Arabidopsis thaliana: one gene and its partner. The protein of the gene in region 1 interacts with the protein of each later gene in a biochemical or structural test. Each region holds a gene or a part of one and is shown on either strand. Other genes may lie near its edges.

Region 1 (3,479 bases):
GCCAGAACCGGAAGTGAAATAGACTCTGTGATGGCTACTTCTTTTTGGTTTGCTTGTTTTCAGGCAATTGCCTCTTTGATCACCAAGGCCAAAGTCTCCAAAGGAGGTTCTTTAAAATTCTCGAACAAAAATCGATTACGACTTTTCCATATATACCAAAGTATCCATGGAAAGAGTTCAAGAACATCCTCTCCTATTCCGAATTCCTTGCCCCGCCAGAAGAGAAAATCAAAATTATAGAAGAGGGAGCTCCTAGGGAAGAGGTGCCCTGAAGTGGGAATAGGTGACAATGCCCAAATCTGTCTGGAATGCGGACAATGAAAAAGGATGTGATTAATAGTCTCCTCTTCCGCTCCGCAACGAGGACATCCTTTATCTGTGCCAATATGTCGGTAGACAAGTCTTTGACAAGTGGCTAGACACCCCGTGATACATTGCCACGCAAAATGCATAAGGTTTCGCGTAGTTTTAAGCTTCCATACTTGTGCCTGAAGTGCAAAAACACTCGGTCCCTAAAAAGGGAGGTCACAAGTAGGACGAGACAAATCTCGCGCAGCCCAATACCCGGATTTAATTGTATAATTTCCGGATTTAGTGTGGGACCAACTAAATCCATCAAGATAGTGCTTATCTCTTCCAAATACGACTAACATGTTGTTACTAAGATGTTATTACGATGATTTGTGCTTAGTTGACAGAATGAGTCATATATCTTGTGAAAATTGGGATAGTCAAAACTCTTTTGTCAAATTAACGGATAATAGTTAATAGTGGTGTTTAATCTGAGTATTTGTTTGAGTTTCTGATTTATGAATCTAGTATATGTCAATTGGTACAATCAAAGAACCACATTATATATCACTCACACCATTTTTTTAAAAGATTGAATCAAGAACACACATTGTTAAGAGAACACTTAAACAAAACTAGTGGCTCTCCTCTCTTTCTCTTAATATGTGTTCGGTCTTAACACGTGATAGGTAGAGAGTATTAATTAGACAGGGTATATACTAGTTAATTGGAGATACTTTCAACCAATCCGCTGTAGCACACATGTTTATTTCAATGATGAAATCTGGGTTCAAACCCGGCAGCGGAATAGTTTTTTTCTTTCATTTTGGTAAAGGACCGATCCAAATATACCTTAACAAGTTGACTTTGCAAGAAAAAACCATTGGAGAAGAGCAGAGTTTTGATCTTTGATGAGCTTTGTGTTGAATGCGATTCATGAAGGAATTTCTTGGCTGCAAGTTTCTTTCATCAAGATTTGTGCGTCTAGTTATGGTATGAAGCTAATACCAATATTTTGCATATCATTTTGTAGTTGAAAGAAATCTTATAACAGAAATTTTGAGTTCATTCTTCAAGATTTAGATAAGTCTTCAACTTGTTGAGAATTCTATGACAAACACTCATGGTATTCACTTTGGAGATTAAATCAAGAACACACGTTTTACGAGTTTTTCGAGATCGATATGATCCTAGTACATTTCAGCAAGAACAACACCTTGTAATTTACCATCAGTGGAGTTTTTGAGTTATAGAAAAAAAGGAGAAAACAAAAAGACTAGATATACAAGAGCTTTGGAGCTCAAGGGCTTTATAACAATATGGTTTTCAGTTAGAATAATAATCGTCACCTCCTTACAACGACATTGCTTCATTCTAGCTAAAGCACACATCCTTACGTTGTCCTGTAAAAATGCTTCAAACCAGAACATTCCAACAAAAATAGAGTCTCGTCTCTTCTTACGGTTAGTACACAGTAATTGTTTCTATTAATTCAATGGAGTTATGTTCAACATATCCACTATACCACATTTGGATTCAAACCCTTATAGTAGAATATGTTTTTTTTTTTTTTCCAAGTGCATTCAACTTGTCCAAATAATAATAATGTAAAAAAACAATTTTTAAATTTTTTAAAATATATGGATAGTAAAAAAAGAGATCTGAGAATTTACCTTTTTTTATGGTAGCTGAAAAGTAAAAGTAAAATATACTCCATAGTTATACTAATTATTTTCGATATCCATTGTAATTTAGTACATATAACCGGTCCGGTTGACTCACTTGGTTCAAAAGGAAAAATCAAAAATCCACAATCCGTGACTAACATAATAACCCAATCTACAACCGTCGATTCATTAATAATCAAGGATCCATATATCTCATAAACCTTTCTCACGGATCGTTATCTTTGACCGTCCGATCAAACAATAAAACGAACGGTCACGATTCATTTTCTAACCCAAACAATCTTCTTTATAAATAAAAAATAAATTCTTCTCTACTCATCAGAAAACTCAAATCTTAAAACTTTCTGGAAAAACAAAAATGTCAGGAAGAGGAAAAGGAGGAAAAGGGTTAGGCAAAGGAGGAGCAAAGAGACACAGAAAGGTTCTAAGAGACAACATTCAAGGAATCACAAAGCCAGCGATTCGTCGTCTTGCTCGTAGAGGAGGTGTGAAGAGAATCAGTGGATTGATCTATGAAGAAACGAGAGGTGTGTTGAAGATTTTTCTGGAGAATGTGATTAGAGATGCTGTTACTTACACTGAGCATGCGAGGAGGAAGACGGTGACTGCTATGGATGTTGTTTATGCCTTGAAGAGACAAGGAAGAACTCTATATGGATTTGGTGGTTGATCAATTTGAGATCTGGGTTTTCTGGTGAATGATGATGATTTAAGTCTTGCGATCAAGAAATTCCAGAAATTGGGTTGAATTTTAGGGTTTCGTTTTGTGTTGTAATTAGGGCAGCATTGTAATGGATTAATGATAAGTACCATTTGCTCTAATTACTCTTTAATCTCTGAAATTCATGGTAAAGGATTATCAATCGAAAACTAATCAAAGGAATTGATTGAACTATGTTTTTGAAGATTGAAAAACAAATAAGGACTAAATGTGAGCAATTTAAAGTTTAGAGGTATAAGAATCGAATGACAAATATGGACTCAATGTGAGCGTTTTAAAGTTCTTAGCTTTATATATAAGATTCATACACTTAATTGGCTTATAATATTTCTTGCAAAAAATCATTTTCGCATTCCCTAGTGTAAGAATTTGTTGTGAAAATTATTCAGAGTTTTGTGAAATCTAATGACACGTCATCGATCCAACACATATTTGTAACGATACATTCATCACCGTCAGATCAAATAAAATGAACGGTTAATATAAACAAGAAAACAGTTTCTAAAACAAAAAAGAAAGGGCCCTACCGGATTCGAACCGGTGACCTATTGATCTGCAGTCAATTGCTCTACCACTGAGCTAAGGACCCTTATTGATTAATTAATATCAATTACATACATATAACCCATAGATATGACGAAAATGTCATCAACATTGTTCTTCGATTTCTTCTACAACACCTTCAATACCAAAACATGATCGTAATAAAGAAACAGAAGCAATGACCATAACTCCTGCGAATATCGTTGGTAAAAAAACGTCTAAATATGAATTCTTCA
Region 2 (5,212 bases), on another chromosome or scaffold:
ATGATTGTGATCAAAGGGGACAGAGTTTTGTGGTGGTTTATCTTCAGCTGTTCCATTCATTTTGCCAACCAAAAGCTTTGTTTTATAGTCGATATTCCTCTCAGAGACAGGAAGATTCTTCAAATCTTTTAAAGCCTTGGCAGCCATGCGTACCTGAAAAGTAACAAAGAAGACGCCATTATAAGTACAAACAACATAAGTTTAGCATCTGCGATTACAAAACCAAAGATAAGATTATAGATGAATTTTCGACCTCTAGCTTAGTATTAAGTATTCCCAATGAAACCCTTTCAAAGTAGAAATGGTAAGATAAACACATTACTATGAGAGTTCAACAGCAATAACATTAAAGAGCAGAGATCTATCTACATTCCCAAATCTTATTTCAAACAATTACGAAATTTACTCAAAACAAAAGCAAAAAACCTCGATCCCACTCAAGGACTCTAAAAAGTTCAAACAAATCCTCGCAGTCCGAAATCTAACTCCGGCGCCGTAAACTACTGCAACCGCGAAAGATCGAAAACGCAGAAGAATAGAAAAAGTAGCGGCGAGTCAAGCGGTATCGATGACTACTAACTTGAAGAGTAAATAGTGAAGATTATTTGACTCGCGTACCTCTATAAATTCGAAATGCCAGAGAAAATTCAGGGAGAGAAAGAGTCGATGAAGACGACGAAATTGATTTCCGGCCAACAGTTCGCAACTCGTAGTAGAGTCGTCGTAGTCATACTCGTTTACACCGACGTCGTTTTATGGATCCAACGGAGGGGACCCATTTGTACGGCATATCTTGGGCGAAATTAATGTTTTTCTTTTCCTTCTCTCTGATACACTTTGGTTGGTTATTGTAAATTCCTCAAATACCCTCGGACTAGATATGCATTTTTATTTTTATTTAGATATGGAATTGGTATATACATATTTTTTAATACGTAAAAACTTGGATTGGTGTGGAAATATTTTATTTTCTACTAAACGAAATAAATTGAACGTATAAAGTACATCACATGTTACATGCACTGATGCACATGAGGAGTGCAAATTTGAAAATATAAGATAAGAAACATGTTGCAAAGCTGCCACCCACCGTATCCAATTGCTACTATTTGTATCAATCAGTTACAAACTGAAAACCAAAAATGAAATGACTAGAACAAATAATGTTAAAATGCACATTGAAATAGTTAACAAGGAAAGCATACATTGATCGATAAAACGAATCCACCACGTTCCAAAATATTTTGTCGCAGATGTTGCAGACTTGTAGCTAAGTTGGGCCGGTAGATGTAGGTGACAAGTGTTTACAAATCTGTTAACTGTCGCTGTGTTCCTCCTACTTTTGATTTTGTGTTACACTATTCAAAAGTTGGTCGACTCTTTTAATCGGTTGATTAGACTAGTACTTAGTAAAATTTGTTGTTAAAACTTAAAAGGGAGAAGAAGAAGAAGAATACTGCTTTAATTCTTAATTAATTTTTTTTTAAAATTAGTAGTATCATTAACGTGTTTATTACACCTTCCTCGAGTTACTTTCCTCGTGATGCCAATGGTTTTTTTAATTCTTTACCTTTTCTTCTGACACAGAGTCACATATTTGACTACGGAGGAGATCTATTGCTTCCTAGTTCCTACTTATCTTTATCGCGTTGTACCAACATCAATATAAAAGCAACATCTTACTTTATAAACTTCCGTAAATTTGATAACAAGTACAATCAAGTTTAAATTTTTCTAAAGTTAACATAAATTTAGCATCATACAATAATTAACATTTTTTTTAGGTTAAACTTTTGGTGCGTTACGTGAGTAGCAGCATCTTCGAAAATATGTTTAGTAGTAGTAGTGATAGGAATTAGGAAAAGGCACACACAAAAAAGAAAAAAAAAGGGTAAAAGGATTCATTCACGTTTTTTTGTTTTCTCTCTCCAAACAGAACTTCGGGAAAAGTGGACAAAAAAAAAGAAAAAAATTTAATAAGAAAACCTCTTTTTCTCGCAATTTGGTTTTGTTTTCAATCTTCTTCTTCTTCTTCTTCGTCTTCAATGCAAACAATGCTCGATTCCATTAACCTAATCGAATAATGGAACCCACTGATTCTACTAACGAGCAACTCGGAGACACTAAGACCGCCGCTGTCAAGGAAGAGAGTCGCTCCTTTCTCGGCATCGATCTCAACGAAATCCCTACCGGCGCTACTCTCGGCGGTGGTTGCACCGCTGGTCAGGATGACGACGGCGAATATGAACCTGTTGAAGTTGTTAGGTCAATTCACGATAACCCGGACCCAGCCCCTGGAGCCCCTGCCGAGGTTCCTGAACCGGATCGGGATGCTTCGTGCGGCGCGTGTGGAAGACCTGAGTCTATAGAGCTCGTTGTAGTCTGCGATGCCTGTGAGCGAGGCTTTCATATGTCTTGTGTCAACGATGGAGTTGAGGCGGCTCCTTCCGCCGATTGGATGTGCAGCGACTGTCGTACTGGCGGCGAGAGGAGCAAACTGTGGCCGTTGGGGGTTAAGTCCAAGCTCATTCTGGACATGAACGCCTCGCCGCCCAGTGATGCTGAGGGATACGGAGCTGAGGAGACGTCTGATTCGAGGTACGTTCCCCTGCTTCTGGTATTCGACGATGCGTTAGGGTTTTATAAGAATTGAATTTGGGTTGAGATCGAGAACATAGTTGCAAGACTTGGTTAAGCTGTCTTTACATGTATTGCGAGTAATGTGTTCGATTTTAAAGCGATAAACTATTGAAGATTAAGCTGGACTAGGATTTGGTGTTGTTGAATTTAAGTTTCAGTATAAGTTGAGCGTTCTGTGCTACCGTTCGTTGGAGTTTTTAAGGGGCCTTTGATCTTCTCTTATGAATTACTTATACATACGATATATTTTCAATCAGTTGTTTAGACTTTATTTGATTGGACTTGTCTGGCCTTATATAACATGAGTATGTCTGAGAAAACACATAGCCGAAATTGTAAAGCACTGATGGATCATGTGGTTGCTTGTTTCTTCTTCTCCAGAAAGCATATGCTCGCCAGCAGCTCTTGCATTGGAAACTCTTTTGATTATGCAATGATGCATTCAAGCTTCTCAAGTCTCGGTAGAGGACATGCTAGTCTCGAAGCTTCAGGGTTAATGTCTCGTAATACTAAAATGAGTATGGATGCATTGGGTTCACATAATCTAGGTTTTGGATTCCCATTAAACTTGAACAATAGTAGTTTGCCCATGAGATTTCCATCCTTGGATCCAAGTGAGTTGTTTCTGCAAAATCTCAGGCATTTCATATCTGAAAGGCATGGAGTATTGGAAGATGGCTGGCGTGTCGAATTCAGACAACCTTTAAATGGTTATCAGTTATGTGCAGTGTATTGTGCTCCGAATGGAAAAACATTTAGTTCAATACAAGAAGTTGCTTGTTATCTGGGCTTGGCAATTAATGGTAACTACAGCTGTATGGATGCTGAAATCAGGAATGAGAATTCTCTTCTTCAAGAAAGATTGCATACGCCCAAGAGAAGAAAGACATCAAGATGGCCAAACAATGGTTTCCCTGAGCAAAAGGGTAGTTCAGTGAGTGCTCAACTCAGGCGTTTTCCATTCAATGGTCAGACCATGTCTCCTTTCGCCGTTAAATCTGGTACTCATTTTCAGGCTGGTGGTTCTCTTAGCTCTGGAAATAATGGATGCGGTTGTGAGGAAGCTAAGGTAAGCGTAAAATTGAAATCTCTCCTGATTGATTGTTTTTTCCAATATTTTTGTAATTCTTACCCTCATGTTTGTGTATTTGATTTTCAGAATGGATGTCCGATGCAGTTTGAAGATTTCTTTGTTCTGTCGCTTGGACGAATTGACATAAGACAGTCTTACCATAATGTCAACGTGATTTATCCAATAGGATATAAGTCCTGCTGGCATGACAAGATCACGGGGTCACTATTTACATGTGAAGTATCTGATGGCAATTCTGGTCCCATTTTCAAGGTTACACGGTCACCATGCTCGAAATCATTTATTCCAGCTGGATCAACTGTCTTCTCCTGCCCAAAGATTGATGAAATGGTGGAACAGAACAGTGACAAACTTAGTAATCGTAGAGATAGTACTCAAGAGCGTGATGATGACGCTAGTGTTGAGATCCTTCTTTCGGAACACTGCCCACCTCTTGGAGATGATATATTGTCTTGTTTACGTGAGAAGAGTTTCTCCAAGACAGTCAATTCCCTGCGCTCAGAGGTTGATTCTTCTCGAGTAGATTTTGATAAAAATTTATCCTATGATCAGGACCATGGGGTTGAAATTGGTGACATTGTTGTGGAAGAAGATTCATTGTCTGATGCATGGAAAAAAGTGTCTCAAAAACTTGTTGATGCATGTTCAATTGTACTGAAGCAGAAGGGTACCCTGAATTTCCTATGTAAGCATGTTGACAGAGAAACAAGTGAAATCAACTGGGATACCATGAATGAGAAAGACAATGTAATTTTATCGTTGTCAAAATTTTGCTGTTCGTTGGCTCCTTGCAGTGTCACGTGTGGTGAAAAGGATAAAAGCGAATTTGCAGCAGTAGTTGATGCTTTGTCAAGGTGGCTCGATCAAAACAGATTTGGACTTGATGCAGATTTTGTACAGGAAATGATTGAACATATGCCTGGTGCCGAATCATGTACGAATTATAGGACTCTGAAGAGTAGAAGTTCTTCTTCTGTTCCTATAACTGTAGCGGAAGGAGCGCTAGTGGTCAAACCAAAAGGTGGGGAAAATGTCAAGGACGAAGTTTTCGGTGAGATTTCTCGGAAAGCCAAGAAGCCTAAACTAAATGGTGGTCATGGTGTCAGAAATCTACACCCTCCTCCTGGGAGGCCAATGTGTTTGAGGCTCCCTCCTGGGCTTGTTGGTGACTTCCTTCAGGTACGGATATACGTTTTCCTTATATGGTAATCTACAACCTACCCCTCCATTCACTAAGTCATGCCGCACATATATGATAGTCATTTTTTATGCTTGCCTAATTAGGTATCTGAAGTGTTCTGGCGTTTCCATGAAATTTTGGGTTTTGAAGAGGCTTTCTCACCTGAAAACCTTGAACAGGAGCTTATCAATCCAGTGTTTGATGGTTTGTTTCTTGATAAACCTGGGAAAGATGATAAGAGAAGTGAGATTAACTTTACTGATAAGGATTCTACAGCTACTAAACTTTTTTCTTTGTTC

The links.
Region 2: of the proteins of HIS4 (region 1) and MBD9, one has a biochemical effect on the other in vitro, tested with the Arabidopsis thaliana proteins (one study listed by BioGRID).

What each region holds. Positions count from the first base shown.
Region 1 is NC_003071.7:12,328,813-12,332,291, reverse strand, and holds HIS4 (histone H4), read left to right. Parts: upstream 1-2,232; 5' UTR 2,233-2,337; coding exon 2,338-2,649; 3' UTR 2,650-2,947; downstream 2,948-3,479. Other genes in the region: AT2G28725 (forkhead box protein G1), read right to left, coding at 3,349-3,479. UniProt on the Arabidopsis thaliana protein: Core component of nucleosome. Nucleosomes wrap and compact DNA into chromatin, limiting DNA accessibility to the cellular machineries which require DNA as a template.
Region 2 is NC_003074.8:171,233-176,444, forward strand, and holds the start of MBD9 (methyl-CPG-binding domain 9), read left to right. Parts: upstream 1-1,957; 5' UTR 1,958-2,083; coding exon 2,084-2,598; intron 2,599-3,021; coding exon 3,022-3,709; intron 3,710-3,799; coding exon 3,800-4,912; intron 4,913-5,017; coding exon 5,018-5,212. Other genes in the region: AT3G01450 (ARM repeat superfamily protein), read right to left, coding at 1-147. UniProt on the Arabidopsis thaliana protein: Probable transcriptional regulator that acts as a histone acetyltransferase. Mediates the acetylation of histone H3 and H4 of target loci (e.g. FLC). Involved in an auxin-independent regulation of shoot branching and flowering time.